Linked DNA regions of Caenorhabditis elegans. The protein of the gene in region 1 interacts with the protein of each later gene in a pairwise test. Each region holds a gene or a part of one and is shown on either strand. Other genes may lie near its edges. The genes, in order: nhr-76 and nhr-49.

What was found.
Region 2: the proteins of nhr-76 (region 1) and nhr-49 interact in a two-hybrid assay, tested with the Caenorhabditis elegans proteins (4 studies listed by BioGRID).

The regions. Positions count from the first base shown.
Region 1 is NC_003282.8:620,807-637,825, forward strand, and holds nhr-76 (Nuclear hormone receptor family member nhr-76), read left to right. Parts: upstream 1-6,730; 5' UTR 6,731-6,743; coding exon 6,744-6,803; intron 6,804-6,936; coding exon 6,937-7,264; intron 7,265-8,883; coding exon 8,884-8,949; intron 8,950-9,324; coding exon 9,325-9,501; intron 9,502-9,716; coding exon 9,717-9,835; intron 9,836-9,888; coding exon 9,889-10,100; intron 10,101-10,990; coding exon 10,991-11,217; intron 11,218-11,264; coding exon 11,265-11,374; intron 11,375-12,894; coding exon 12,895-13,038; 3' UTR 13,039-13,157; downstream 13,158-17,019.
Region 2 is NC_003279.8:9,861,996-9,877,632, forward strand, and holds nhr-49 (Nuclear hormone receptor family member nhr-49), read left to right. Parts: upstream 1-7,722; coding exon 7,723-7,792; coding exon of another isoform or gene 7,793-7,796; intron 7,797-9,232; coding exon 9,233-9,330; intron 9,331-9,916; coding exon 9,917-10,058; intron 10,059-10,698; coding exon 10,699-11,054; intron 11,055-11,103; coding exon 11,104-11,667; intron 11,668-11,715; coding exon 11,716-11,826; intron 11,827-11,964; coding exon 11,965-12,129; downstream 12,130-15,637. Other genes in the region: K10C3.4 (Transmembrane protein 98), read left to right, coding at 226-304; K10C3.5 (Elongation factor-like 1), read left to right, coding at 1,604-1,645, 1,837-1,939, 1,990-3,080, 3,842-4,387, 5,267-5,833, 6,600-6,935; inx-20 (Innexin), read left to right, coding at 14,533-14,609, 14,973-15,087, 15,131-15,218, 15,257-15,342, 15,448-15,637.

The DNA.
Region 1 (17,019 bases):
AAATGATGATTCGTTCGAAAACTCAGGATTTTGCATGATTTATATATATATTTCAATTGTGTAATCTCTTTCTTTATATGAAAAATCTGAACATTTTTCTACCTCAATAAATGTATATATTTAAGAAAAACACTTCGCTTTCACCAGTAAACTGTGAGAAGCATTTTTGCAGTGGAGCGAGGTTGCCTCCCCTGCCTACTCACATGAGTGTGACGTCACGCGTGGAAAGTTTTCGTGACGTCACTCAAAAATCTTGACTTCCGGAGAACACTAAGGTAATCTCGGCGAATCTAATCAGTTTTGCTCCTTCAATTATCAATCGCTCAAACAAACATTGTGGGTATTACTCATACCATCCTACATACACGCAACCATACGCTTTTTTTTGTTTTTAGTATGATCTCGAGTGGCAAAAAGGGAAGAGAGAAGAGCAATAGACCAGTATTTGTGATGTCTCCGTCTCTAATCTCTCGTTACGTTTTTGAACGGTTAGTAGTGATTGGAGTGCCTCGCAAATATTGTTTCTGTTTTGTTGATCAAGTTTCTTTAGTAGTTGTTATTGTTTTCTAAAAATGTTTGGGATTCCTGGGAGCCGACTTTTTGAACTTTATCTATAAAATTTTATTGTCAAAAATGCCTAGGTACTACAGAAAAAAAACGAAAAATCGCAAATTTTGGCTGATCTTTATTCATTTGAATTGCCGCGCGTTGGCACTCTTTTCCAATCACGGATTTCTAGCTTCCCTCATAAATTGAAATGGAAGAGTTTGCCGAACTAGGCCATTTTGGCCCGGCCACATCTGGGGTAGATTTACGGCGAGTTGCGTGTCGCGTCGCGGCTTGATTTTAGTTGTAAAACTAAATGTATTTGTCCGTGTGAAGTACACAACTTTCCCACGCGTTGTCCGGCGCGCGATTGTCAATGGAGCGCGAAAAATTCAATGAGGGAGGCCAGAACCCCGTGTCCACCAATTTTAATGCAAATTCTTTGTTTTTTTTTAAAGAAAATTCAGAACACCACGATAAATCTTGCGGGAATTATGAAAAAAAAATTTTGACACAAATTAAATATTTTAATAGTCATAGAACCTAATTTTTAAATTGAAAGTCTTCAGAAAAACGAAGAATTTGTGTTGAAATTGTGTTGAAAAATTTTTTTATTGTAAAAAAATTCAATATGCAGCGCTAGAAAAAAGTTTACTTTTTTGTAGTTAGGAAAGACCTGAGAAGAAGAAGCTGCGATTACAAAAGTAAAAAAAGTAAAAAGTTTTGATAAGTTGCTCAAAAAATGTCTCAAAAGTACAATGGATCCACTAATCGGCACATTGATATTTGAGTTTTTTTTTTTGAGTAACTTCAGGAGAGTTTTTTCAAAAAATAAAATTATTTTCAAAAACTACAAATAATTTTCTATATTTCTATGAGGCATTTTCAAAAAAGAACTTTGGCATATCTGCTTGGAATGTCCTGTTGAATGAACAGCCTTCACCCCGCACCTGATTAAAACACAAATTCCGAACAGTTTTTCTTTCGAATCCTAATCTTTTAATATATATCCAAAGTCTAGTCTATTAAACAGAAATAATAGAAGAAATGTCAAAAGATCAAAATAGAAGCAATTTTTTCATTCCAACATCCCCCTCGCAATGTACCTTTGTGTTCACTGATCGTCATAATCCGATCCATTCTATCCGTCACTTTTGCTATCTTTTCTCTTCATATCCTCATTCTTATATATCTATATAGTTTTCCATGTTTCTGAATAGTCTTTGTACCCCCTCTGTACATTCTCAAAAGTTAAGAAATGTCTGAATGTTTGGAGACGTGCCAATTGTTGTTTTAACTTTCGTGTTCAATTGCTCATAGAGAGGGGTGAGAAGAAGAAGAAGACGCAGAAAAAGCAATACTCAAATGTTGCCACATTTTTGTGGCAACATTTGAATTAGAAGAATCTTAATGTTGCGAAATTGCTCTTGACTCTGAAATTATAGGCCTGAAAATTATAGCCCTCTGGAAATCAGAAAGGTGTGTTAGAACTTTTGTTCTCTTCAAACTTTGAAGTCACCGAAGGATTTCGCACTTGTGCCTGCCTGCCTGCATGCCTACCGCCTATTCAGTCGCGTTTGCATCCGGCAATTTCCCTTCTTCACATTTTTTGAGTCTACCTCTGAGCAAGCCCTTCTATACGACTGCCTACCTACGTTCAAGCCTGTCGCTCATCTATTCGAATTTAGAATTTGGATTAGAGAAGATTTACGAAATTTAATTTACTAGACGAACGCCCGACATTTTCTGGGTTTCGCGACTTATCGTATAGTTGAATGTTAGGCCCTCGTGCCGGCCTGTTCGCCTACCTACGTGCATTCCTTGGGTAGTGCTAAGTCGTAAGAGCCTATTCAATATATCAGTTTTCTACTGCGCCCGACGGTTTGCGGGTTGCGATGTCATTTTGTGAGTGGTTAGCCTTACTAGTTGGAGCAGGACACATACATAAAGTAGGGAACCTTGTATGCAGGCAGGCTAAAAATTGTCAACAAACTGTTCGAGTTTGACCAGACAGTAGTATAACTTTAGCCAATTTCCTTCTACACAAAAACCTGTGCAAAATTCCGGCTAATAAACCATTTGATCAGGTGCTCAGGAATTGCTCACCGAGTTCCGTTCTCTCACTCCGTTTGTTGTCTGATGTTTTTTAGTTGAACTCTCCCGTCTTAGTCAGCACCAACAAATAGATCGTTGACGTATTTGTGAGTGACTATATGTATGAGCCAAATGATCATTATTTGTTAGTGGGCAAAATGTGTGCAAGGACAACGGCACAATTGTGTTGCTACAGTTTTTATTGTGTCCGATGATTCAAAAAGAAACTCTGGCGAGTAAATAAATAGGTCAAAAGTCAGGAAACACTTTAAATTTAATCATAGGCACACATATGCATACCAGGCTGGAAGGCAACCTACGCCTACCACCTCCCTACACCTAATTTATAAATCTTTTAATTTAAAAATCTTTATAAAAATTAGCTGCAACTTTTTCGGGCTCTTTGGCGTTGTCTGGGAGTCGTGCTGAAACTTGAGTCCTAGCCCTGAAATTGTTTGTTTTTTAATGGAAATGTTTCATGTAGCTAAAAAATTTCAGATCGATTTTTTAAAAATGAAGGTGCTCCTCTGCTGCTAAATTCTGTGTAGTTACAAATTTCATTGATTATTTTTCAAATGACGGAGGTACTTGATAGCTTTATTGACACTTTGCAAGCTTATTTTAGTCCCCACGGGGACTGGGCCGAGCCCGGCAGAAGTGCAACGCCAGGACGACCCTTGGGAAGTCGAAGCAAGCCCCGAGTCTTCCCAGGGTTCCAAAAATCATATAACCTTTATTACACTCATTTGAGTGTATACCGTAGGTTAATACGATAAGAACAGATACTACACTTTGATCTTAGCTAATAAGCCGAAGAAGCGATACTGAATGGAGGAGAGGGTAGGGGCAGTCCTGAGCTGTGTACCGACAAATCATAGATGCGCGTGTGGAACTATTAAATGGCGGAGGTGAGAGTGGAGGATAACTATACTGTGCACGTGAACCGTTAACGTAGGCATGAAGTAGGCACTCATGCAGGCAACTAGGCAGAAGGTGTGATGTATAGGCACAGAAACAGTCTGGTAGGGGTCAGAAAATAAACTCACATCAGGAGTGAGCTAGGCTAGGCACGCAGGCATGAGCTAGGCAGGTCGTCATGAGATACTCATTGCCATAAATTCGTACCTAACAAAGCCTTGCTAAAAATATTTTTTTACAAAAGAAATGTTGTCGTTCTTTCCGTCCAAGAGTTCAAGTACATCCGTATATCCAAACAAATGTATCAAACTTCGTACAATCTCACTCCCCTTTCTTCCCGTGAGACGGGAAGATTCTTATCTTCAAATTATTCTACGGGAGCGTCTTTGACATAGCCTTTGTTGCCTGATCAACTTTCCATCCAATCGTTCTGCTTTTATGGATTGATCCCTTTTTTGATGATTTTGAATCAGACTTTCTAAATGTATTTGGTTGTTTTTTTTTTGAGAAGAAATTGTTATTTTACGGAGCACAAAATGCCTACTTACCTGCCTCCAAGACGATCCTGGATTTAATAACGACCTATGACTGCCAGCCTACTTTCAAGGCGACCTATGCCTGCCTACCTGCCTCCAAGGCGATCAACGTCTGCCCGCCTGTCTTCGAAGCTATCAATGTCTGCCTATCTCATTTTTCTCATTTTTAGCAATCTCAAAGCAAAAAGTAATGTTCAAATTTTTATATTAGGTAGTCAGGCACCTAGGATAGTAAGCATACGTTGGATACGTAGTCATGACACCTGCCTACCATGTAACTCTTACCATCTAACAGCGTTAAAAAAGCAACAATGAATCAGAACACTCACTCTCCACACCCATGTTACAATTTCGAACACATATTTTGTACATCTGGAGTTGTAAAACTGAAACAACAAACTAGTAACAAAATTCTTCGTGATGTTTCTGAAATTGGGAAGTAGAACGCTTTACCGCGCCTTTTTTGGATACAAATTGATATAAATTTCTATAAAACGTAGAATTTAACTTTAATGATCTCTATTAGGACTTGCACCCTCCGAATCGTGGCGGCATTTGCAGTTAGGCAATTCGGAAAATTGCCGCTTGGCCGATTTGCCGGAAATTTTCATTCCGGGCAGTTTGCCGATTTGTCGCAAATTTTGATATTCGGCAAATTGCCAATTTTCCTTGCAAAAAAAAAATTTACAATTAGAGGGATTTTTTATAAAACGGAAAAACTTAAAACTGTGCCTTTTTGAAATGTTCGTCCCGTTTCCTTTGAATGTTTTCATAGAATTTGCTTACTTTTCAAAATAGATGTAGGAACATTCATAAGATGTATACAATTTTGCCTTTTAAAATTGAAATTCTGGGAATTCCAAAAAGAAGTACAAAACCACAATTTTCCAAAAATTTTCGGCTAATCGGCAATTTGGCAGTTTACCGATTTGCCGATTTGCCGGAATCGAAAAAACGTTTACTTTGAAAATCTAGAAAAATATTTCGCACATATCTTGTCCGTTGACAATTTTTTGATAAAATCAAAGGGAGCCGAGATATCTATCAGCTGTGAAAGTGGTACGAGGGTAGGATTTATTTTTTAATATTTTTAAAATTCAAAATACTCGTGTGATCTCCGAACTTGTGTTCGCCCCGCCAAATCCTCATCCAATTTTTCATTTTTTTTTTAACCAATAAACAAGTATCAAACTCTTTCTTTCTTTTCCTGATGTTTCTCTGTCTAGGCAGACTGCCCCCGCCTAACCCCGCCTCTGACGGCCGGCAACTTGCACTTTGAAAAGAGAGCGGAAAAGAAACATAACACGAACGAAAAAAAAACCACTAAGAGATAGAAATATGTTGCCGATTCCGATTCTTTTCAATTCATTCTGATTACAATTTAAAAAAAATGTTCTCAAACCAAACACATAAACAAGTGTGTGCACTTTTGATAGAAGGATGCAGGGGGAAAGTGCAAGATGTCATTCATTTTTTGAAAACCGAAAAACTTGACAGTTAGCCACTCCTTCTCCCTACCCAAACTGTCTGCGTCTGCCGGTCGTTCTATTTTTCCTATTTTTTCCTTCGTTTTTTTTTGCTTTTTTGTTCGATATCACTTGTTCGCCCGTCTCCCTTCTCTGCCGCTCGCAACATTTCGCATCTGTTTTCCCAAGTTTCTGATGATCACTTATCTTGTCAAGTTTCGATTGCAAATTAACACTATCTAGCAGTTTAGAATGTGATTAATACTGCTTTTGGAAAAATATTTACAAAAAATATTTAGTTTCCCAAAAGTTTCCCAAGTTTTAAGATAAATGGTTCTGAAATTCTGAAGCTTAAAGTTCATATTTTTCAACATTGGTGTTTCTGAATAAAAATTTTACGCAAACTAGAGTTTCCATACAGGCTTCTAATGCGTACCTACCTGCCTCCCCTTAAGGTGACTTTCGCGTGCCTTGCGCCTTCCGCTAAAACACTTGCCAATTCATTGCTCCTTTCTTAACTTTGTTTTCAACAAATCGATTGAGATGAGGAAACTTTCAACTTCTAAATTCAATTCTAAATGCAGATAAAGGCAGGCAGGTTTCAGGCAGGCACAGGCCTTAAATTCACTTTTGGAATTATTCCTATAGTTAGGATATTTCACAAAATTTAAAAATTCTAATAACATTTTAATTTTCGGCATGCATGTTTTCATGCCTGCCTACCTACTACCTTATTACCTTTGTTTGCAATTTCCAATCTCAATTGATTTTTTGAAAATCATAGGCATAAGGTAGGCGTAGGCCGCCTAAGAATAATAATAAAATATCCGCTGTAAATATATGTCAATCACTTTTTTTGATAATTTTTTTTGATAATTATCATACCACATGTGTATCAAATATGAAATTCATATGAAATTTTCATGAATTGGAGATTTGGCTACCTGCCTACTTTAAGACGGCCTACGCCTACCTCGTGCCTCACAACATTTTCCCTGACCTACAGTAACCCGGAAAACTTCCTCATACTTCCCCAACTGGCAGGTTTCTTCCGATTACTCATATCGTTCGTTACTTTTATTTTACAATAACCGTATTTTGTAATTATTTGATATGTTTTCTTTCTTCAAATAAAATTTTTTTTTAATTAAAATTTTCAAATTATTTCAGATTAGTTAGCAAAATGGAGGTGCTCGGGAAGCAGAAGGTGTTGGCCATGATGAAGCTGAATGGTGCTGGACAGGTGAGCTACTGCCGGTTTTTTTTAGAATACCGGCTTGGCTCAGAAGCCGATTCTCGGCTAGACTAAACCGGCGCACCTAGATACAATAAATGTTGTGCCAAAACTATAACTTACTCGATCAGAACTTTTCCAGCTCACCGGGTACCCCTTCGAGACGCCTTCATCCTCCACCACAACACCTTCAGTACCTCCTTCCTTCCCACACTCATCAAATCCCAACGCCTATATGAAGCCATCTCCACCATCAGCTATATCATCACCACCATCCACATCATCGTGCTCCTCGGCTTCAGAGAAGAAAGAGTGTGCGGTGTGCAAGAACCCCAACTCCAGTGGATACCATTTTGGGTGTATTGCGTGTGCCGCTTGTTCAGCGTTTTTTCGACGTACCGTAGTGCTTTCGAGGAGGTACTACTGTAGGAGGGATCCAGTTGGCAACTCGCTGTGTCCGCTGGATAGACGTTAGTTCATTTTTTACCGTACCCTTTTTGTGAGGCCCCACGAAAAGGGAGCAGAACGAAAAGGGGATCTGCAAAAAGGGGATCTGCGAAAAGGGGAGATACGAAAAGGGGAGTTACGAAAAGGGGAGCAACAAAAAGGGGAGCTGGCACTGTGCCAAACGCACAAAACGCAATTTTTCTCACGCAACGCACGTTGATTTTTGAAATTTTCTTCTGGAAGATACGCTTAACAACACGCGACGCGTAACATCGGAGCATCGTTGTATCGTTTTCTTCGAGAAAAATAGCATTTGGCACAGTGCCAGATCCCCTTTTCGTTGCTCCCCTTTTCGTATCTCCCCTTTTCGTATCTCCCCTTTTCGCAGATCCCCTTTTTGCAGATCCCCTTTTCGTTCTGCTCCCCTTTTCGTGGGGCCTCCTTTTTGTAGACTTTGACCAGCTTCGGCAAACGTGAGAGATATGAAAAAGTGAATTTGATAACCGGATTCTAGAACAATTTTTAAACTTTAGTGAACAACTACAATAATCCTATGACTTTACTAGACTCGAATAGTAGGCAGGCACGCCTACATGCCAACATGCCTGCCTGAGTGAATACTAGTTTTTATAGTAAGGAGTCTACAGTAGGTAGGCAATTTTTATTACTTGGCTACCTGTCTTCCTAGCTGTCTATTTTCTGATTATTGGCGGTTTACACGGTGTAGATTTCCAAACGTTTGTGTAAGAAAATGAGCAAAACATTTATGGACGTATGTAGGTACGAGGTAGGCCTAGGTCGCAGTTTTGCCTGTGTATTTACAGTGTAGATTTACGTATTTCTCCTTTTAAGTGAGCAATAATTACATTTCCGTAGGCAGGTGGTAGGCCTAGGTTGCCCAATAGGCAGGCAGGGAGGTAGGTTGCATTGTTGGCAAAAGGTAAAGGTATGTACATCCAACTTGACATGGAAATTGATTGCAACTGTTGCAACTATTATTTTGCAACTATAACATATTCCTCTGGGAATAAAGGGCAAATTTTTGAATTCTAGCTTTTTTTTTTGTAAAATTCAGAGCACAAAGTTGAATAGGCAGGTTCGCAAAAAGGCAGGCAGGTAGCTATGTGCGTAGGCATAACTGTGCCTAATTTCAATTCAAGTCTAGCACGAAACTTTAAAAAAAAACTAGAAACAAATAATTTGTGAGAAAATTTTTTTTGGCATTTTGGCATGTATCCAAAATTTTCGATTAACTTTTTGGTTTGTCTGGCATTGCTTCGTTCCAATTTCATTTCCCAATTTCCCATGTTCTATTTCCAAATGTGGCCAATTGTGTCGATAACGGCAACATGATTCAATTTTCAATATATATTTCCCTTTTTCTCTTTCTCTCACTTTTTTGTCTATTCAACTATGAATTGAACACTTACAGTATTCGATTTCTAGTCACCAGAAAACAAAACTCTATTCTATCGAACGAAAATTGCTAGACAGACAAACAATTTTATCGGGGTAAAATTATGTAAAAGCCCCGTGTGTTCTGCTTATCAGTAGTAATAGTAGTGGTGCGTACTCGAAAAAATTTGTACAAATCAAGCAAATTTGACAAAAATGACAAAAAAAATCAACTTCCTTGTTTCAGGACACCGATCAAATTGTCGAGCATGCCGATACGTAAGGTGTATCGATATGGGGATGAATCCGAGCAGTAAGTAAACTTTTTTTTCGAGAATTCGGAGATTTTGATCTCTGAAATATGAGTTGTTCTTGTCGAGAAGATGGAATCTGTCTAGGGGGAGAGGGCGCAAAAAAGTGAGAGCGCCTAATTGTAGGTACGGTATGGCCTGCCTACCTGTAAAGATTCACCTATTAAGCTGCTTAACATCACAGTAAGACTGTGTCCCTGAAAATGACGGGCGCATAAATTTAACTCGAAGGTAGACAGTCAGACACATAGGTATGTAGGCCTTTGAACGGCTGATAGGCTGGCAAGCATTCACTTTGATTGGCAGGCAGATAGTCGGTAGGCAGGCGCGTAGACATGTAGGCAGGTCGGCACAAATAAAATAATTTCCGATTCCAGGCGTCCAAAACCTTCGAGACTCGATCAAGCCACGGTCCCCAGCAGAAATGATTCAGGAAGCCGAGGAGGAGGATAAAAAGGAGAAGCTCGACGATATTCTGTTCTCTGCTGCAACTCCGGGTAGTTGGATATCCAGTACGAGCACATGTAATGAACCACTTCCAGTTGCTCCAAAAGGTGAGTACGAAAATGGGGCACCACGCCCGCCCTCTGTAAATCCTGCGGCCGACACCTTGCGGTTCACGAGCCCGTTGTTGGCTGTCGGCTGCAAGTCGATGAAAAGGCGAGCGTGATGCCCAACAGTCTGAACCTGCTTCTCTCATCCTTTTTTAAAACCTGATCCTTCCCATGCTTCTTTAATTCCAACCCATCCCAACTCATCCAAAGTTCAGAAATTCCCGGCGAAAACTACATCGAAACCCTTGCCGCACTATACAAAAACTCTGTGGAGCGACGTCGAATGTTCTACTGTAACGGATCACTTCGCGAGATGCTCGGAGGCACCGGCTTAGTAATTACTGTACTAACTATGGCTTCTTTTTAGCAATTTCTTTCGGATTTCAGAAGATGCGACCAACGAGATTTGACGAACGATATTACAAGGAAAAAATGCGATTTGAGTTGGTTTTGTACGTGGAGATGATGAATTCAATGAGCGTGTTCCGACAGATGGACCTGGATACCAAGGAGACATTAGTCAAGGGATGTGCTGTGTCATTGGCCATGCTGGAGAAATATTATATTTCTGTGAAATATGATGGGTTGAGAACTCAAAAGTAGGGCTTTGCATTTTATTTTTATTGTTAGGGTACTTTTCTAGTACTCTATGGCTACTGTAGGATAACTCTAGTTTTAGGAAAAAATTGTTTTCGAAAAATTCCACAACTTTCTCGATATTTCTAAAAATATTTCGATTTTCTAGAGACCTTTACATTCCAGAATTTTCCAGAGCGTTCCAGACAGTTTCAGTAATGCCCAGATATTTTTAGAATTTTTTGAAAGGTCTAGGTCATGTCAAACTTACGAGAAAGTTTCCGAATATTCCAAAAAATTTGTTTCTAAAAAGTCCCTGAACATTCTATGCTATTTCTAGAGAGTTCCAGAATATTCAAAAATTTATATAACTTTCCAGGAATTTCTAGAAATGCTCAGGAAGATCCAGAGTTCTCAGAACATGTCAGAATTTCCTGGCATTTTCCAATATGTACCATTTTTCAGAAAATTCCAAAAGTTGTTTCACGTTTCCAAAAACATTTAGTGTTTTCTAGAGCGTCGCAGAATACTTGAAAGTGATCTCAAATTTTCCAAAAAAGGTTCCAGGACGTTCGAGGATTTTTTGAACCATTCTTGAAAATTCTAAAAAACTCTCAACATTTTTTCGGAAATTGCAATTCAACAATTCTGGTCATTTTTTTTTTTGAAAAATAAATTAAAGGAAAAAATCTCCATTTTTTTCGATTTTTCAACTTTTCAATTCAACAAAATTTCAAAAAAAAATTACCTAAAAAATTTGACCGAATTTTCTTTAAAAAATCGAAAATATAAAATTTTTTAATTTTTCGAATTTTCAATTTTAGAATACTCCAGATTTCATCACAATTTTTCTCGCATTTTCTTGAGAGCATCAGAATTGTTCTACTCTCTGCAAAACTTTTCTCGATTTCAGACTAATTGCTCCGGACGGGTCCTACACGGATTTGAGTGATCATGGTGCTCAATTCGACGACGAATTCACACAAATCACCGAGTCTGTCATGGACAAGGAAACGTGTCTGAAACTGCTCTACGACCCGCTGCGGTCGTGTTTGAACGAACTTGGATCCGCGTTAGAGCACTCTAGAATGACAGACACCGAGTTTTGTGCTCTTTTTGCAATATTGTTATTCAATACAGGTTAGTGCTGTCTGGAAGAGAGGTGTCAATTGAAAGTGCAATTTCAGCCGCTGATAACTTATCGGACGCGAGTCGTAACGCCGTAGTGATGGCCAGAAATCGGGTGATGAAGGATTGGTTCGAGTTTTATGCGAAACAGGGGATAGACCCACATGAGGTAGAGAAGCATCCTTCATTTAAAAATTTCGTGATCTTAAATTTTCTAGAAGATTCTGGTTTGTTCTGAACGTTTATGAAAATCAAAATTGTCTGAAAACACCGAATTTCAAAATGAAACTTCTTGGAAACTTTTCAAAAAAAAGTTATGGCGTCTCAAAAAATGGCCTAACATTTGTTAAAATTGTAAATTTGACCAACTTGTCAATGTCACAGCGGCTGGAAACAATTTTTTTTTTGAAATCACCGTCAAATTTTAAGTACACAATGTAATTATCTTGCGCGTTTCCAACTTCATTTAGTTGTTTCAAAGTCGATGGACGGCAAGATTTGGTTAAAAAAATTTAAAAAAAAAGCAATTAAAAAATTGGACTACACCACTGCAACTTTTTTCAAACGGGGGCCTAGAAAAAATGCAAAAAATCGGTGTTTGCACACAATACACCGCATATAACGACATTTTGTACTTGCTTTGTTTTCTTGTGTTTTTCACCGATTTTTCCCGTTTTTTCTTATTAAAACTGATAAATAAATATTTTTTGCCAATGCTAATATAATTTCCAGATGAAAAAATTATGTATTCAGTCGGCAAGTAGCGGTGAAAGTGGTCAATGTTATATGATGGATTACGGGAATACTAAACCTAAACTTTTTTCCAAACATGATAAATATGCTGCTTAGATGCTGAAACTACCTGATTTTCATAACGAGACCGCTGAAAAAGTTTTGAGATTTTTAAAATTCAACATTTTATGCGAAAATCTCTACTTTTTCACCAAAAAAGTTGAATTTTGAAAACCTCAAAATTTTTTTAGCTGTCTCGTTATGAAAATCAGGTAGTTTCAGCATTTAAGCAGCGTATGTATCATGTTTGGGAAAAAGTTTAGGTTTTGTATTCCCGTAATCCATCATATTACATTGAGCACTTTCACCGCTACTTACCGACTCAATACAGACTTTTTTCACTTGGAAATTGTTTTAGCATCTGCAAAAAATATTTATTTATTAGTTTTAATAAGAAAAAACGGGAAAAATTGGTGCAAAACAAAAGAAAACACGCGGAAAACAAAGCAACATAAATGGCCGCTGAAACTTGTCGGCCCCTCGGCCATGGTCTAGAAACCACTTTTCCTCGTCCCTCGTGAGGAAAAAGTTGCAGTGTACACCACCTTTAAATGTGTTAGAACTTTCTAGAGATTTCGAAAATATTTGAAAAGTTTCTGGGATTTTTGGTAAGTTCTACAAAAACTGAACTATTCTGGACCACCTATTTGAAAATTTCAACAACAATCTAAAAAGGCTTTCTGGAAATTTTGAAAAATCTTGAAACGATTTCGATCAAAATTTCTGTAAGATTTTCGATCATTCATTGACCATTCATCCCTAGAAAAGTCAAAATATTTCTGGAAAAATCTAGATACTTCTCTTATTCTGAAACAGCGGAGAGGCCGCTGAGCACCTAGATGTTTTCTCTGCGCTCTCCTCCTCACCTACGCTCTCTCATCCTCTTCTAGTTTCCAGGCTGGTCTTCTCGTGGGCAACACGTTGCTTCTTCTGACAGCCGTCCGCAATGCGATGGCAGTTCACCGTGAAAATTTTCACGTGATTCGTGTGTTCAATGTGATGGAATATGATAAATTAATTGATGATCTCGCGTTCACGTAACCCCAAAATGTCCTGCAGTTGTACATAGAATACCCAGCCCGCTAGAAAATACTTTTCGCTAGAAATTGATTCGCTAGTTTTAAAGTTTCAAAAGAAATTGTAATAAATATTTATAATTTATGTTTTACTTTTCGTTTTTTTTTTTGCGTATTCTGAACTTTATACTTTTGCAAAAAATGTTGCAGAAATGCAAAAAGCTACAAGTAGTTTACCATGGCAGCCAATTTTTGGAAACAAAGACAGCTAATTTTCAGCACACCATTTTTCTATTGGAACATCATATGTACAGGCATCATGTAGGCTTCCTACGCCTTTCTCGTGCCTTCCATCAGCCTGCGTTTTTTTACATGAGTTGCGAACCCCGTATAATTTCAGGCGCTTTTGGGAAATTTCAGAAAGCTTCAGGAATCTCTTGAATTTTTTGAATCTTCTGGAAAGTTCAAAAATTTCCTGAAAAATGTTTAAAGTCTTTGGAAACTTATTGAAAGTTTCGGAAGTTTCTGAAATTTTCTGGCGGATTTGAAAAACTTTGAAAACTTTTCAAATTTTATTGAAATTTCAAAGAACTACTGGGAACTTTTTGAATTTTATTTTTGATATCGAGGCTTTTCAAGAACGTTCAGGAAACTCTATAAAAGTTCTGGAAATATTGGGAAGATTTCTGGAAACTTCGAAACATTTCTGAAAAGTTTTGCAAGTTTTGAAAAGTTCTTGAAGAATGTTTAAAAAATCCTGGAAAGTTCTAGAAATTTTTGGAAGCTTCTAGGCACTTTTTAGGAATTCGGAAACTTCCAGAAACTTTCTCAAGGCTTCTGGAGACTTCTGAAAACCTTTGGAAACATTTGCAAACTCTCAAGAACTTTCTGAAAGCTCGACGAATTTCTGAAATTTTCCGGAAAGTCTTAACCTCGTTTTTTTTCTTTTCTCTTGCAAAATTCTGTGTCAAAATTCAAAGTCAAACGACGCAATAACCTCTAATTTTGAATTATCCTCCAATTGACGTCACACCCCTCCCCGTGTCTCCCGTATTCTCACCGTATTTCCACATGGCCGCAAAAAAAAAATGCATAATTGAGCACTCAGTGAAAATGTGTGCTCCGTCTGTTTCTGTTTTGCTATTCAAGAGCTTCGAACACTTTTAGAGTAGAAAACAAAAAAGAACAATTTTTTGTTGCAAAAAAAAAACAAAAAAACAACAAAATAAGTGGGTATTGTTGTTTGTTTGAACGAAGCGAACCGATTTTTCTCCACACTAATTCCTTCCGCTTTTGTTGTTTTATTTTTGAGTTTTCTTTTCAGAATTCATCGTTCTATACAACTTTCTTCCCTTTTCTCAAGAATCTCGAATATCAAAAAAAATTCAATTATTCCCAAGTGGCTTGTGACCTGTTTGTTGGCATCAACACAAAAAAAGAGGTCGTCGGTTTTTGAGATTTTCCAAGGTTTTCAAGGTATACTGTAGATGATAATCACATCGTTTACAAAATCAGGCAGGTATGTAGGCAAGTAGGCAGGCCTAAGGTCGTGCCTGCCTTTCATAAAAGCTTTACAGATATGATGTAGTCATATTTGATCTCCGATTTAAAAGTCTCTTTATTGTGTTTTTGTGTCCTCAGAACGCCTTTTCAATTATGATTTCATTTTATTTTTTTTGTGTATTTGTTCTGCAAAAATGACACATTTAAAATTCCAGTCAAGTCGTTCGGAAAATAACAAAAACCATTTCCAAAACTCCACGTCACTTGCTTTTATTCCTTGATTCTCACGCTTTTCACTAATGATTTTCCCAGAACGGAGAATAGGTGTTTTGTATTCCATTTTGCAGAGAAAAATGTCAGCAAATTTTGCTTTATTTTTATGAATTTTGGATAAATTTTTGCTTTAAAAATGTGAAAATGCTTCAAAATTGCATTGTTGGTTTCAATTTTTAAAACAATTTTTTCAGAATAAATTAGCACGAAATTCAAATACAAATTTTTAAAAAAGGTTATAGAAAAATAGAAAATATCTTACTCGAACTATTTAAAAACATCGGCGGGGATCTCAAAATTTGATCTTTCAACTATTTACCGGGAAACTCAATTTCAACTTTTTCGATAATTTTTGATGGGATATTCAAGTTTTTCTAATAAATTTCAAATTAAAATTTATTTCTAAATTTGTTCAAATTTTCGGGAAATTGAAAGTTTTTCTCCAAAAAAATTTGATGTGATATTCAAATTTAAATTTTCAAAAAAAAATTTAGGAGACAAAAATTAAGAAAAAAAGTTTAATTTTTTTTCGAAGGAACAGTTAAATTTAAACTTATGAAAATAATTTGCGAGAATTTCAAGATTCAAATTTTCAAAAAAAAAATTGTTCTAAAAATTCTAATTAATTTTTTTTTATTTGAAGGGAAATTTAAATTTAAATGTTTCAAAAAATTTCAATATTTTTTCTCCTCTCAATCTTTCCTTTAATTCCCTAAAAATTTCCAAAGTTAATTTTTCAAATTTCAGACTTTTGAGCTTTTACCCCAAGTTAAAAAAAAATTTTCAAACACAGTTTGACCCAAAACCACTTCATTCGCCGGGAAAATTCGAACATGAAATATCCATAAAATCACATATTCTCTCTGAATAACCCTATAAAGTTCCAATTTTAGTCGACCAACACCGCATGACCATTTGTTTCCCACCTTCATTTTGCATTCGTTAAAAGAAAATGAAATATTTACACACCTCGTGGTCTAAGTAGTGGGCCCCAGATGGAAAGCAGAGAGTCTATTCAAAATAGAAAATAATTGACGTCATTTCTATTTTTGCGGATTTCTATTTTTCCACTAAATGTTTATTCTGTGGTGTCTTGCAAAAAGGTCCATATATATTCCATTTATTAGGAATTTTGCAAAAAAATTGTTTTTGAACATTTCTGATGATATATACAACTATGCTAGTACATCATTTGTTGGATTTTTAAAGGAAAAAAAAATTCCAATTTATAAACGATATTTGTAGGTACTGTTATAGGTCCTGCTTGCTATAGAACACGTGAGCATTAATGGTATGTAGGCAGGTAGGCAGGCAGGCATGGTAAAGTCAAACTTAAAATTTTCAAGGTAATCGGTATTTTTTTAACTGTTTACAAAAACTTTTGCTTCTTTAGTTTCATTTTGTTTCAGCTGGCCTAGAAATTTGATTCCGTTGTTTTTTTAATTCTGACCAAACGTTTCCGCCAATTTTCATGGATTTTTTTTGAATTAAAATTTGTAAAAATCGGACATTTTTACGAGTTCTCAACTTGCCAGACGATTTAAATTTTGGTAAACTGCCAATTTTGCCAAAAATTGGAAAAAGTGCAATGTGACAAGTTGCCGACGGGCCTAAAGCGAGCAATTTGCACAGTTGCCGATTTGCCGGAAAATTCAATTTTTTGGCAAATTGCCGGGTTTCCGAACCGAAATTTTGAAAATAACTTTTTGCTGAATTTTTGAACATTTTTTTGGTAGATGAATTTAAAAATATACATACATTTTTAGATGTTACGGTAAATTTCGAAATATGGACAAATTGTCGATTTTCTTGATTTTCCGGCAAAAAACCACAATTTGCCAATTTCGCCGAATTTCACAGTTGAGCTAAACCTTTTTCACCTTTCCTTTTTCTGAGTCAGAAGTCCGGTCTGAATCTATTGGTTTTTCAGTCACAAACAACATAAATTGGAAGCACAAATTACACAAATTGGCAACCAAATTGGTCGGTAGACCGCCGCCACAAAAAATGTTCCCTTTCAATATGGAGGCAGAAATATATATATTCATATTTTTAAAAAAGTGTTCTTTCATTTTCTGTGATTTTTTATTCTTTTTGATATATGCTGTGTTCTTTGTTTTATATATGTTCATATCAAAAAATAACTCTAAGACTTATGGGCTTAATGCTTAAAAACTTCCCCGTTCTCATTGTCAGTCAAAACTTCTGAATCTTGAATTGTTCCTGACCT
Region 2 (15,637 bases), on another chromosome or scaffold:
ATAAAATATTCTCACAATCTTATGAGAATTATATTGGATAACATTTTTTTTCCGGAAAAAAGGAACAAAACGGGTGAAATCGATAGCTCAAAAAAAAAGAAAACGGGTGAAAAAATAAGAAAAAAAAGCGTGCCGCAGTTTTGCGAAATTAAGCTCCTCCCATTTTATTGTGCAATGCGGATTTCAACAGTAAAGCGCTTCTTTCAATCATATTGTTTTTTTCAGAACTTCAACGTCATGTTCTTCGTCATCGACATCTTCAGCTTCCTCACATTCCGCTCACCCAATCGACCCAAAAGCATGACGCCAAAAGCTGTGATGTTCAAATCATGTTCGCAACTCACAGCTTCTCAATTCCGCGATTCTCAGTTTCTGTATGTGTCGATGATCTAGGCAAAAAACACGCACAAAAAGTGCATCCACAATGCCATTTTTAATGTATATACAAAATATTTTCCCGTTCCATTCGCATATCCCCATTTCTTTTTCCCTTTTGAGTTATTTCTTTTTCTTACTGTTGTGTGTGTTCTTCTTTTTTTTGTTTATCTCTAAGTTCCCATGTTACTTTCAAATCTCTATTGTTATTTCTCTTCTCGTTTACGCACCTGGACCTCTCGTTTTAAACCGAATCGCGGGCCCCGTTAATTTTGATGACTTTTATCTCTTAAGCCTAATCGAGTACACACGTTTTCAGAACCAAATACCTCGCACCCGAATATCCTTTCCCATAATTTGTGTGGCGAGAGACGGAAACTGACACAGAGGGTGAAATATTTCGTAATATTTTATCACACTTTGTCTGTGGACTCTCTCAGTTCCACACTATGCCAACTACCTCTATCTCTCCACCCTCTCTCTTTTTACATCCATATTTCACTCGAATAACTGTATACAAAACGCTAGAAAAACGGGCTCCGAAGTTTTGTAGTATTATTTACAAACACTTATCCAATATTCTAATATTTTCACTTATCTTTCTGTTCTCAACCTATTTTTATTGTTACCTCCTTTTTTGCATATTCAATGTTCTTCCAGAGCATTGAAACGGAAAATGAGATTTTGGAATTCGAAGATTAATATCTGAAATTATAAGCTCTACGAATTTCAAGATATCTTTTTCTCATCATCTCTGCGTCTCATACAATTCTCTCACACACTTCAGGTTCTCTCTTCCCCGTCCCCGTCTCTCTCTCTAATTATATCTAAAGTTACATACAAACTCTCTCTTGTACCCCGTCCCGATTTACGGTGCCGGCAATGCTGGTACGGTAACACACGGCTTTTGATGCATCGGGTATTACTCTTATTTTTCCAACTTAAAACCCCAAAATTATGTACATTTTGAAAACCTCCTGCATGCCTCTACAGTTCTCCCTTTTTCTCTGTTTCTCCATCTCAAAAACTGTATTTCTTTTTTTCTCCAAATTATGAATTATATTGCAAAAACCCTCACGAAAGATCAAAAACATCATAAAATCAAATAAAAATTAATAATTAAATGTTTTCAATATTGTTACTCTAGATCTCTGGAGTATTCAAAATTCTCGCATATTTCTTAAATTGCTATTACAGATTTTCAGATATTTTATTTCAGACTGACGCAATGGAAAGCCTTGAAACAGCTTTAAAACAGGCAGCGGCAACGGTGAGGACTTTTTTAGATTAAAATTTTTATAATAAAAAAAAAAGAATTTAACCGACGATTTTTAAGTTTCCTCACATTTTTTTATACGTTGATGAGTAAAAAAACGTAAGTATACATATAAATGTATTTAAAAAAAAAGGAAAATGACCAAAATTTAAAGCTATTTTGAAAATTTATGTAAAAAATTGCAGAAACCCGCTGAGCATATCCGAAATGTCTGTCTTGTCGCTCACGTGGATCATGGAAAAACCAGTTTTGCAGATTCTCTGGTTTCAGCCAATGCTGTTATTTCTAGTAAAAACTTTAAAAATGTCTAACTCGACAACGATTATCTAAATTTTCAGGTCGAATGGCGGGAAAATTACGTTATATGGACAGTCGAGAAGATGAACAAACACGTGGAATTACTATGAAATCCAGTGGAATCAGTTTGCTCTGTGAGCCACTTCTCATCAATCTCATTGATAGTCCGGGACACGTGGATTTTTCTGGAGAAGTGACGTCAGCATTGATTCTTTCCGATATTGCACTTCTGTTGATTGATGTTATTGAAGGAATTTGCTCACAAACAGAAGCTCTTATTCGTCAAGTTATCAGAAATGGTCAAGCAATGATTCTTGTTATCAATAAAATCGATCGATTGAGAGTTGAACTGAAAATGTCGTCAAGTGAAGCATATCAACATATGTCTCGTCTTATTGAAGGAGTCAATAGTTGCATTAGTCAGGTTCTTGGAGGAATTGTATTAGAAGATGATACATGGGGAAATATCGAAGAATCGGAAGCAAAACTTCATTTTGATCCTGCAAAAGGAAATGTTATTTTCTCATCAGCACTTCATTCATACGCTTTTGGATGCGAAGACTTTGCTCAAATAGCTGCTGAAAAAATGAAAGTAGAAAAATCGGCATTACTTCCTGCAATGTTCGGAGATTTTTGGATTGATTCGACTGGGTCTATCAGAGATGGAGCAGCAGTTAAGAATAAGGCAACACTGTTCGAAAGAATCGTTTTAGAACCACTTTGGAGAATTCACGATCTTGGACTTGTTGAAAATGATGCTACCAAGCTTGCCGAAGCTGCAAAAAAGCTTGGAATTAATTTAAAATCCAGAAGAGCCAATGAAGCTTTCGACGAACTTATGAGAACTTGGTTGCCACTTCCAAAAGCAAGTTTCAGAGCAGTAGCAAGAGCTCCAAATGTTAGATCAACATTTGATACTCAACATCGATTGGATCATCTGACAGGTCATCGTCTGGATCATCCATTAAGAAAATTCGTTCTCGAATGTAATCCTGAAGCAATGACACTGGTTTTTGTTGTGAAACTTCTTCAGACAGAAGACAAAAATCTCACTTCTCGTAGAGCAATTTGTCGTGTTCTCAGTGGGACACTGCGTAAAGGAGACACTTTATACGTCCTTCAACAACAAAATGTGAGTTTTATTTCTTAGAATATTCGAAGAATCGAAATTGGAATAATTTTGGGAAGAAAATTAGAAAAATTTACTGTTTTCATTTTATTTTTCCTCGAAATAAATTATTAGAGAATTAAAAAAAATTAATTTTTCGATTTTTCTAATTTAAAAAAATGTTGAAAAATATTATTCGCAAATTACAAGAATTAAAGATGTAGCAAATATATCTTGATTTTGATGTAAAAATAATTCAAAAAATTTCAATGAAAAAAATGAGCGGAAATTATTAAAATTCGAGTTTTTCTCTGAACGAAAAAGGAAACAATTTTTCCAAAAAAAAAAAGCTATGCCTACCAAGGTGTCACAAAAAAAATACAAAATTTTCTTTTTTTTTTGGTTTTCCAGAGTCAATAGAAAAATTGAAAAAAAGCATGTTCAGACAAGACTATGTTTTTTGTTTTAAAAAGGAACAACTTTTTATTGTTTTTCTTTTGGAAAATCGTTTGTTTCCCAAATTATCGGAAAATCAAAAAAAAAATAAAAAAAAATTGAAAAACGAACATTTTCGGTTTTCCGATATTTTAAAACCCAAATAAATTAAATTAATATTTAAAAAATAACATGTTAAATAGGTTCCTACAAACATTATCTCTAATAAAATAATTTTTGATTTTTTTTGAAGATTGTCTGATATTGGCATTTTTTTCGGAACCTGTTTGAAATTATGTCCTAAAAAAATCTTTCAAAATTGTTTTTAATTTGAAAAAATATTTTTTCAGAATAGCAGCGAAGTGACTTCTACAAAAATCGATCGAATTTCAATTCTTCGTGGTCGTGATTCAATTCCAACCGATACAGTAACATCAGGAATGATTTGTACTATTGATGCAGAAATTCTATTACAAAATACTACTCTCTGTGAGAAACCGGATTTCCCTTGTCTCAAAATTGGATCTCAAACTGGAGAAGCTTTGGTTAGAGTTTCGATCAGTACTCAACAATTGGATGATATGGACGATTTAAGAGAAAAATTGAAATTATTAGCTCTACTTGATACAAGTCTGAAAGTGATGGAATTGGAAAATGGAGAATTAGCAATGGTGACAGCTGGAGAAGTACATTTACAAAAATGTATCAAGGATTTAAATGATTTGGGACTTGTGGATTTAGATGTCTCTGAACCAATTGTTCCATTTATGGAGACTGTAATTGAAGATTCTGTACTCTCAGCACCACAAATTATTGAACAAGAGACCGAATGCCGTATTCGAGAAGCTTTATATATCAAATTGAGAGTTGTTCCATTGGGAGATGCCGTTGTCGAGGTTAGGACTTTTTTTTGAAATTTTTTGAATTGTAAAAACATAGTCTAAAATTAGGAAAATTATTTAGTACTTTTTAAAAAATTAAAAAATTGCGAAAAAAATTAATTCGGAAACATTTTTGAATTAAAAAATCGCATGATGGTTACTGTAACGCGACCAAATTTTCTTTTTTTGTTCTAATTTTCTTTGAAAATGAAAAAAAAACACTCCGCAAAATAAAAAATTTTTTAACCGGTATCGATTTTTCAGGAAAAATCGAAAAATCGAAAAACGAAAGTTCAAAAAATGAAACATCAGAAAACGTATAATTAAAAAAAGGTATAATTACCAATAAATAGTTTCGAGCTATTTTTCGAAAAATCAAAAAAAAAATCAAAATATCGGAAAAACCCGACACCCTTGGTTTTGAAAGGTTTCAAAGTTATCTAAAAAATTCGATAAAAATATAATAAATGGGAAAAAAGGAAGCAAAGCGGAATTTTGCCGAATTGAAATGAAATTATTGGAGAACATTTTTTTTAATTTAAAATTCTCAGGTTATTATGCATTTCAGAGAAATTTTATATGTATAATTTAAATCAAAATCCTCAACGAACTCGGCATTTCGTCACAACTTTTACACCAACTTTAGCAACTTAAGCGCCAATTTTAGCGTTTTGCAACTTATCCACCAATTTTAGCAACTTTTTAACCAAGTTTAGCCAATTCTAGAAAAATTTTCAGTGCAAATTTTGAGGGCATCCCCAACTTTAACCTATTTTGCCCAACTTTAGCAACTTTTTTACCAAAATTTAGCAACTTTTGCACTTGGCATTTCTAAAGTTGCTAAAGTTGGTGGATAAGTTGCGGCGATTTGCCGAGGAACCTTCAATTTTTCAGTTGCTCGACAAAAATTCTTCGTTAATTTCATCGATTCGTCGAGGAGAAGCCGATCAAACCGAAATTGATGAGTTCCAAAAAAGATTTACATCCGTTTGTCTGGAAACGCTTCCAACATTGAAAGGATCTTGGTGGTTTCGAAAACCGAAGGAAGTGATTGAATCAATGATTGATCAAATTTGGGCATTTGGACCAGAAAGAGCAAGAGCCAATATTCTATTCAATAATGTTCAAAATTATGATAGAGATTCCGTTTGGAGAAAAACAGAATTTGGTGTTAGAAGATATGATCAAGCACTTGTCGCTGGATTTGAATTATTCTGTAATACTGGACCACTTTGCAATGAAATTATGCACGGAATAGCAGTTATTGTTGAAGAATGGAATGTTGATGAAGAAGATGGAGCTATTGGAGGACAAATGATGACTGCAATAAAAGCTTCATGCTCTGCTGCTGCTAAAAAACTTGCACTCCGCCTTGTCGCTGCCATGTACCGGTGTACTGTAACTACAGCCAGTCAGGCATTGGGAAAAGTTCATGCCGTTTTGTCACAAAGAAAATCGAAAGTAGGAATGGAGAATTGTAGAACATTTTCAAATATAGTTAGAGATTATAAATTTAAATATTTATATCCATCAGGGCAGTAGATTTTTCGCTTTTTTGAAGAAAAAAAACGATTCTATTTTAAAAACCGAAAATCCTGATAACTGATAAATTTAAATTTTACATGTTTTCAAAAAAAAAAAACACTAGAAAATTTAGAAAGAGTGCGATTTCGATGAAAATATTCAAGTTTTCAAAATAAAATTTCAAATTTACAAAAAATTAATTTTTAATTTTTTTTCCGAAAAAAAAATCCGAAATATTCTGATATAGCTCTAAAAATGACACTCGAAATTATGAAAAGTTAAATTTTGACCAAAATATTTAAGTTTTTCAATATATAATTTCAAATTTACAAAACTTTCCTTTTTTTTCAATTTTTCGGCTTCGAAAATTTCCTTTTTTTTGTTTTCGAATATAAACCTGAAATCCATGTCAATATTTAATGTGATTTGCCCATTGAGCATGTGAACGAAGTATTTAATTTTTGTAATTTTCGACGCATCTGTGCAAATAACGTATATATGGAGAGAATATAATGAATGAATCTTCTTTCCAACTATAATCTAAATAGATTTTATGGTTTAGTGTGCCGATTAAACAAATAAATACGGTATATCCAATCTCATTTATATGAGCATTTTGTTTCAAAAATTTCGAATTTTGACTATTACTTTAATGGCGTTGTATAAATACTAAATTTTAAATAAAAAATAATTTTGAATTCAGGTACTCTCCGAGGACATCAATGAAGCTACAAATTTATTCGAAGTGGTCTCCCTAATGCCCGTCGTCGAATCGTTCTCTTTCTGTGATCAACTTCGCAAGTTCACATCTGGAATGGCTTCTGCTCAACTTCAATTTTCTCACTGGCAAGTCATTGACGAGGATCCTTACTGGACGCCGTCTACATTGGAAGAAATTGAAGAATTCGGATTGAAGGGAGACAGTCCGAATCATGCAAGAGGATATATGGATGCAGTTAGAAGACGTAAAGGACTGCCAACCGAGGACCTGATTGTGGAGTCGGCGGAGAAGCAGAGGAATTTGAAAAAGAATAAATAATTTTTTTTTAGTTTCGTGATATTTTTTGTTGTTTGAATTTCCGGTTTTGACACATTTTAATCTTGTTGATTGTTTTACTTGTTTTTTTTTGTTCGTTTTTTTCAAAGAAATAATTAAATTGAAATCATCAATTTGAACTTTTCGAAAATATTTGCTCCAAAAATGTTAACTTATCATATAAGGCATATCTGAAACATTTTAATTTCACTCGGTTAACACTGTTTCATTCACGTGTGGTGGTGTCAACGACCTGATGGGTATAGCGTAGTACGGGAGAGAGGGTCGAGAGGAACTTTCTTACAATCTTTCTCTACCTCTTTTCATCTATTCATCTCTAAAGGTCTGCGCCTCTCCTGTTATCGATTGTCAACGTGCTGTGGGTGGTTGGCTGTCGTTGTTTGGTGTCTCTGTCAACTCCATTCTCTCTAGTTTTTCATATTTCTCGACATGTTTGACCAACCACTGTCTCTTTTTTGTCCTTCTAACCGACTGGCCTGCCAGCTTTAGCTTCTTCTTCTTTTTCACCATTTTCTTTTCTTTTTTTTTCGTTTCCTTTCTGTTTGCCAGTAGTTCAGCTTTTTTCCACAATCAAAAGTTCATAGATTTAATGACTGACTTTAAATGAGACGACGCCGGTCCCAATTAGCTTTGAGAGTACAAAGTACGGGGCATCGAACAACACTGAACTACATAATGTAGTCTCTCACTTCCTGTTTATATGGGGTGATTCGCAAACTCCTTGTATATACTCATCATTTTGTTAGTCAACTCATTCCGTTCTCACGATATGGACTACTTTCTTGATGCTTCTAAACATATTCAGTTGAATCAAATTGATGAAGAATCTTCAGATGATTGTAAGTAAGTTTTATAACGGACACATCAAGCGACATTGAAAGAAAGTCAACTTTTAAAATATCGACTTTCATGCCTTTTTGAATTTTCCACCAAACTGAGAACTACAAAACCAATCAGCGACTTGCTCATTGAAATCCAGAAATTAATAGAATGATTTTTGGATGGCTTCTTTGCAAAGTCCACTATATGGGTATATATGGATTTTTATACGTTCAAATAATATGTACATTTTTGAGTTTATTAACCTGGCTCTTCTAAAAGTTCTAAAGTAATTCAAATGCCCTTTCTCTTAGAACGTCATTCTTCGATGTGTCTCCTCATTTTCTACCAGAATTTACCAAACCCTACAACTGGATCCTCGTCGGTCACTTATTCGATGCATTACATCTCCTCGCTCCTTAGATATAGATCTTACGATCTTGGAGAGAAAAGGAACGACACTACTTAGCGCGACCGTCTATCTTATTCGATCCGTCGGACAAGATTGATCAAGAAGACTTTGAAATAGCATCCGCATTTAAGAATACCTCATTGGAGTGAGCAGAGAGAGAGAAAGACTACTGGAATCTTGCCGAACACATCGACCAGTTTTAGAGTGTGCCACATCAGTCCTTTTCTGATCTTCGCGTTTCCTTTTGTTTGCTCAAGACGGATGATTTCTCAATCTTCTCTACTTTCGCTACAATAGCAACACGTTTAGTCCTACACTACATCTGCTAAACTGGGAGGCTCGAAATTTCCGAGCTATCAAGTTTCGGCTTGCCCTTTCAATGTTCAAATTTCTACTTTTATTGGACTCGATTAGGATACTTTATTGAAAAACATTCTACATGAGCTTCGGTCTTTTTGAATATACGTTCAAAATTGTTCTATATTCAGAAACAATAAATTGAAAGTACCAAGTTTGTCCTTCTAGCAGTGGAAATTCTAATTATATGCTGCTGAATTATCTCCACATCCTCACCAATAAGGTCTAATATAAAACCTACAATTTCTGAACGCGGCCCATTCATCTGCCTAGTGGTCAATGCATCTCAATTGTGTGCACTTGCCGGTCCTTTATTATTAAGACAACATGCGTTCCACTCCTAAAGACACCATTGAAACACTATGACGTCATAGTCGATTTGCAATAGATACGGCAAATCGTTTTTTTTAATCCACCGTATCGTCAGGACATTTTACATTAGGCTTATCAATACTTATATTAAATTTTGTCTTATTTCTTGTGTGTCTATCATGTGTTAAAGCCATTGCATTGACTCTGATTTCTCTACTCGTCTGACACTCTCTCTACCTCCAACACTATTTCATCGTTTCCATGAACAAGTGACATTCGTCGTTTCTCTTTCACTTTGAAAACTTGCGTTGCTATCTGTTGTTTGGTTTTTTTCGTGTTTCATTTGTTTTTTTTGTTGTAAAAAGTTTAATTGTTTCAGTCATGGACCTAGTAGATCCTCTTGCGGAACCATGTGCCGTTTGTGGTGACAAATCAACTGGAACCCATTATGGAGTCATTTCCTGCAACGGGTGTAAGGTGAGAAGGGATAAATTATAAAATAATAAAAAATAAATTATATTTAGAATTATGTGAAATTATAAATTCAGTTCTCGTCACGAAAAATGATTTTGGAAATTATATTTTTTCCTTTTTTGAAAAATGAAAAATCTCAGTTTTTGCCACTTTTGGAAGTCGTTGATCAAAAAAATTGTTTCCTTATAATTTTATGGACTACTTATGTTTCAAATATTAATAATCAAACACTATAGGGATTCGATAAGCGACAGGGCTATAGTTTTCTCAAAAAGTGGCAAAAACTGTAATTGCCAGTTTTTACTGTCAATAAAAATTTTCTAACTTTTTTTGTTAACTTTGGTACCACAGGAGTAGTTTTTAAAAAACAATTTCCTCACTTTAAAGCAAAGTAATATTGACTCCACCTACAGTAACCCACGCTTTTCGCGCATGCTTTATTTGAAAACATATTGTTCGTGACGAGACCGAGTACTGTACTTTATGGTTGCAAAAGTTCGTATTAATTTAACTGGTTTTTGAAAGTTATGATTATCATCTCGAACTTTTTAATGATTTATCCCGCATTAATAAAACTCATGAATTTCAGGGATTCTTCCGCCGAACAGTTCTTCGTGATCAGAAGTTCACTTGCCGTTTCAACAAAAGATGTGTGATTGACAAAAACTTTCGATGCGCGTGTCGTTATTGTCGCTTTCAAAAGTGTGTACAAGTTGGAATGAAACGAGAAGGTATTCATTTCTCTTTCCGTTCAATATTTGAATATATCCAAAACACAGTGGCCTCATGTTTTTCACCAGTGACCTCTTTTCAATTTCGTCCGTGAAATGAGATCGGCCGCAAAAAAGATTCTAACTTGAGATATTGATTCGGAAATTTGCCCCGTTAACTCAGAATTTAGAATATATTCTTCTTTCTTTCCTTTTCCTGTCCGTAGATTCCATTTCAAAACACGATATTTCTAAAAAAAAATTGTTTCGTAGTTTTCTATCTAGAAAAAATAATTTTGGAGCAAAATATCGTATCTAATTCTACATACGTTTAAAATTTGGATGTTTTTTCATGTTTAATTCGTTATTTTAAAGAAGAAATAGAGTCATAATGACAGAACATAACTGTTAAAAATTGTATTAAATTTTGAATGATTTCTTTTTTTTTAAATTTACCAAAAAATTATATTGAAACAAAGCCACAATAAACATTACCGAAAAACGCAAAAATGTCGAAAATATAGTAAACTATAATTATATTTCATTCATTTTCGTGGGAATTCAAAAATACAAATTTTAACAACTATTTTCTGTCATTCAGGTCCATGTTCTATCATCTGAATCACATCCACGATCAATTCTACAATTTAATATATTTCAGCTATTCAATTCGAACGTGATCCTGTAGGTTCACCAACATCTGGAGCCAGTCTCAACGGGACTCCATTCAAAAAAGACAGAAGCCCCGGATACGAGAACGGAAACAGCAACGGTGTCGGATCAAACGGTATGGGACAAGAGAATATGCGAACAGTTCCACAATCCAGCAGTGTCATTGATGCTTTAATGGAGATGGAGGCTCGTGTCAATCAAGAGATGTGTAATCGATACCGAAGATCGCAAATCTTTGCAAACGGCAGTGGGGGGTCGAATGGAAATGACACAGATATTCAACAAGGAAGTGATTCTGGAGCATCGGCATTTGCACCACCAAACCGGCCATGCACAACCGAGGTAGTGAGTTGGATGGTACGTAAATTAAGAGGTCACATTGTTTTATTTTCAGGATCTGAATGAAATCTCCAGGACAACACTTTTATTGATGGTTGAATGGGCAAAAACAATTAATCCATTCATGGATCTTTCGATGGAAGATAAGATCATTCTACTGAAAAACTATGCACCACAACATCTCATTTTGATGCCAGCATTTCGAAGTCCCGATACAACTCGAGTTTGTCTCTTCAACAATACTTATATGACACGTGACAATAACACTGACCTCAATGGATTTGCTGCATTCAAAACAAGCAATATAACACCCAGAGTTCTTGATGAAATTGTCTGGCCAATGCGACAACTTCAGATGAGAGAACAAGAATTTGTATGTTTGAAAGCACTTGCATTCTTGCACCCAGAAGCCAAAGGACTCTCGAATAGCTCACAGATTATGATTCGTGATGCTAGAAATCGTGTTTTGAAAGCTCTTTATGCATTCATTCTCGATCAGATGCCAGATGACGCACCCACAAGATATGGAAATATTTTGTTGTTGGCACCGGCTCTCAAGGCTCTGACTCAGCTGCTCATTGAGAATATGACACTTACAAAGTTCTTCGGATTGGCAGAGGTATGAAAGCTTTTCTTGTTTGAATCCGTACATAAATGATAGCTTCAGGTGGATTCTCTGCTCTCCGAGTTCATTCTCGACGACATCAATGATCATTCGACGGCTCCGGTCTCTTTACAGCAACATCTTTCATCTCCGACAACGTTACCGACTAATGGGGTTTGTTTTTAATTATTTTATTAAACTTTTTATTCTAAAAAAATACAAAAATAGCGAAAACGGCCAATGATTTCAGGGAAAAACCGTAAAATTCTCTTTTTAAAAAAGATCTTCCATTTCAAAATTCATATTTTTCAGGTATCTCCGTTAAATCCAGCCGGATCAGTGGGAAGTGTTTCGTCTGTTTCTGGAATTACACCAACTGGAATGCTCTCAGCAACTCTTGCAGCTCCATTGGCAATTCATCCTCTCCAATCACAAGATTCCATTTTGAACAGTGAGCAGAATAATCATATGCTCTAATAATTCCATTTTTTCTCCCAAAACTCTTCACCTCATCTCATCTCCAGTTCTATTCCGAATCTGTGATCTTTCATCTTTTCCCTTATTGTTGTTTTGAATCATTACCCCCAATTTATAAAATAGTCCAGAGCCCAGCTATAATGTACATAACAAAAGAAGAATACCCTTCCGTCTCAGTAGTTGTTTCATCTTGAAACCTGTCTAGGCCATCTCTATATCATATCAGGTTATTGTTCTCGTCTCCCCCAACTCTTCTTCCTTAATCTTTTTTCCAGACGGGCTGGCTCTCGTTTATTCTTGTGATTATTATTGTCAATCAAATTATCAGTTTAGTACTTCAATATGTATAAGAAGTGACTGTCTTGGCATTTCCCATCTCTATTTAGAAGATTCCCTTCTTCCCATTTTCCTTCCTTCTTTTCAAGCGTTCGTACCAATTTATGTTTGCAAAAAGAAACTTTTATTTATACTTTTTCAAAGCTCATCGATAAAATACATTATTATACCATATTTTATTATTCGTATCAAATAAACACAATTGACTCATCATTATGAATTCACTCGAGAAGTTCAATGCCACGTCCTCCACCACCTCCACCAAGACCGTAAGTTTTATTGCAATTTAGAAATTTAGAAGAATTTACAAAAAGTATTGTTTTCCAAATGTTTGAGCACCTGGTGTGAGCTGCTGGAGGTGAAGCTGAGCTTTTTAGTTTTTTTTTTCAAAATTAGATTTTTTTAAATTGTTTATTTCTCTAAAACTCTTCAAATTGATGATTTTTGTTTTGATTTCAATTGACACGATCATCTAAATGATAGTGGATATATGACCATTTCCCAAGACACTTGAGATCAATTCAATGATCCGAACAGTGTACATAACGGGGTAAAAGTGATGATATGTCTATTGGAAGAGGGAAGATGAAGAAATTGTGAGCATTTAGGCTTAGGTGGGTGAGTTCACACCTCTTGGAGCACATACACTTCAGCCAGTTTTGGACATTTTATTTAGTTTTTTTGGGTTGCTTGTTTTGGTTTTTTGATATTCTTTCCATTCTGAGACAAGAATTTGGTAACTAACAATTAGTAGTAGATTTCAAAACGGTCAACATTTTATCTTTCTTTAAGATCTGTTCTTAAAATCAAATGTGAACCTTTAAAAAGTACCGTAACAACTTGTTTCAGTTTTCAATCATTTTTAAGAGAAAATTCTATTAAGAACTTGAGAGAAATTTTCAAAAATTGAAGAAAAGGTTAACTTCGGGAAAGTTGGTTACTGTACTACTTAAAGGCGCACACATTTTTGTGGCTTCAATTTGGAATAAAATCCATCGTGGTGAGACCTAGGCATACATCATTACATGTCTATCAATTCACTTTTTTCTATACTCAATCTTTATTTGTTCCTAGACCTCAAAAGAAATTAATTTTTCAAGTTATAGAGAATATTGTAAATCCGTAAAAATGTAGGACAGTTAGCCCGAAAATATTTATTTAAGGTTCTAGTATTTGCGGGATTCATGTCTCAATATTTTTCACCAATACATAAAATTTGTGGCAGTATTACTGTAGAAGTTGACAGTATTACTGTAGTAGTTGTAGGGTTAACATCTGTATTACACACTGTGCAACTTTAACTATACGATGATCGTTTTCTGACCTACACTATTGAATTCATGACTGTCGTCCATAAAACAACAGTCAAAACTATCACATCATCTAATATATACAGAAATCATTCAAAAACTATTAAAAATCAGTTCAAACAAGTTTTCAAATATAGAACTGTAGACATGGCTTAATATTTGAATTGAGTCATTGTCCATCACTCATATATTCACTAAACATCAACATTGTGGATCTAGTCTTCAGAGTTTAGCAATTGTTTCAATTTTCAAGTAAATTCTATTAAAAGCAAAGCTTTCTCAATGTTCTCGCCCATGTCTTATCTGCGGATCTCAACAAAATCAGACATTTCTCATAGTTTAATTAACTGAGCGTTCAAATTTTGTATCATTGCGAGTCTATGTAACTATAGTCTTCTCGCGAAGATCTTTGAAATTTCAAAAAAAAATCTAAAAAATCTTGTGCAGCTCACCGAGTTCAAAAAAACTGTCGCATTCTCCCCATTTTTTACTCGAACTTGAATGATCTTGAGAGTACGCGTGAAACTGTGCAATCATGACAAAACGGTGGGAAAATCCACATTTCTGTTGGCACTTACTGCTGCCAACCTTGATTCCTCAAACATTCTTCGGAAACTATTCTTCAGTTTCTATTCTCACAAGTTATTGTAACCCAACTTTGGCTTATACAAACTGTAATTGAATACATCTACTATTCGGTGTGTATTGTTTTATTATTATTATTATGGAATAAGAGTTCTGTTTTCCCCCTCCACCGATGGACGCTCAAGCACTTCCCCAACATTCCGCTTCTTCTAATAAGACGGGTGGTTCACCTGGTGCACGTGTTCCAAGGTATCGAAAGTTGAAAGTTTGTTTTAAATTGCAATGGCAGGCAGGCCTGTTTTATTTCAGTTTTCCGCTAGTTCTGATATGATGTTCTCATAAATTTGCAGAAAATTATTACCAAAATTTAAAACACGACTGGAAGACAAGTTTTGACAATTGCCCTTTGTGGAGTATGTTTAGGATCAGTGGTTTTGGCGTTTTTGAAATTTCAAAACATAATTAAAACTCATACAAGTACTGTTTTAACTGTAATGGCCTGGTGAAATCATCAATTCATTAATGATCTCACTGTAAACTTCTTTCTAAATATTTCTGCATCTCCTGACTTTTGTGACTGTTAAAGTACCTCTTAAGATCCTATATTTTCAGAATGGTTTTCGCTGAAATAGTGGGAACTCTCTCATTCCTCCAACCACAAGCAGATGATGACATATTTGACAGATTACACTACTATTATACAACAACATTTTTGCTTTTAACTGCTGTGAGTGATAATTGAAGATTGTTTTATTGCAAAACTTTTTCAGGTTTTAATATCACTTAAAATGTTCGGAGGACGACCTATTGAATGCTGGCTTCCCGCAGAATACAAGAGTAGTTGGGAAGATTATACAGGTAATAAAAATAATCTAACAAATTAATATTTAATTCAGAAATGTACTGCTGGGCTCGGAACACATACGTTACTGCTTTTGAGGACGATAATCTTCCTGAAGTTGTTAACAGGGAGTATACCATGGTAAGTTCCACCTTATTTGGGAGCTTCACAATTTTTTGTATACCATCGCCAATAAAATTGAAAAATTACAATGTTCCATTCTTTCCTATAACCACAATTTTCCAGGTATCATATTATCAATGGGTGCCCTTCTTCCTTGTCTACGTGGCTTTCAGCTTCTATGCGCCATGCTTAATATGGCGACTTTTCTATGACAAATCAGGAATTCGACTCAAAGATATTATGGGATTTGCAAACGACAAAGCAAATGTGGTTCCAACTCAACGAACTGCAAATATTCGTGGACTTTCAGCTC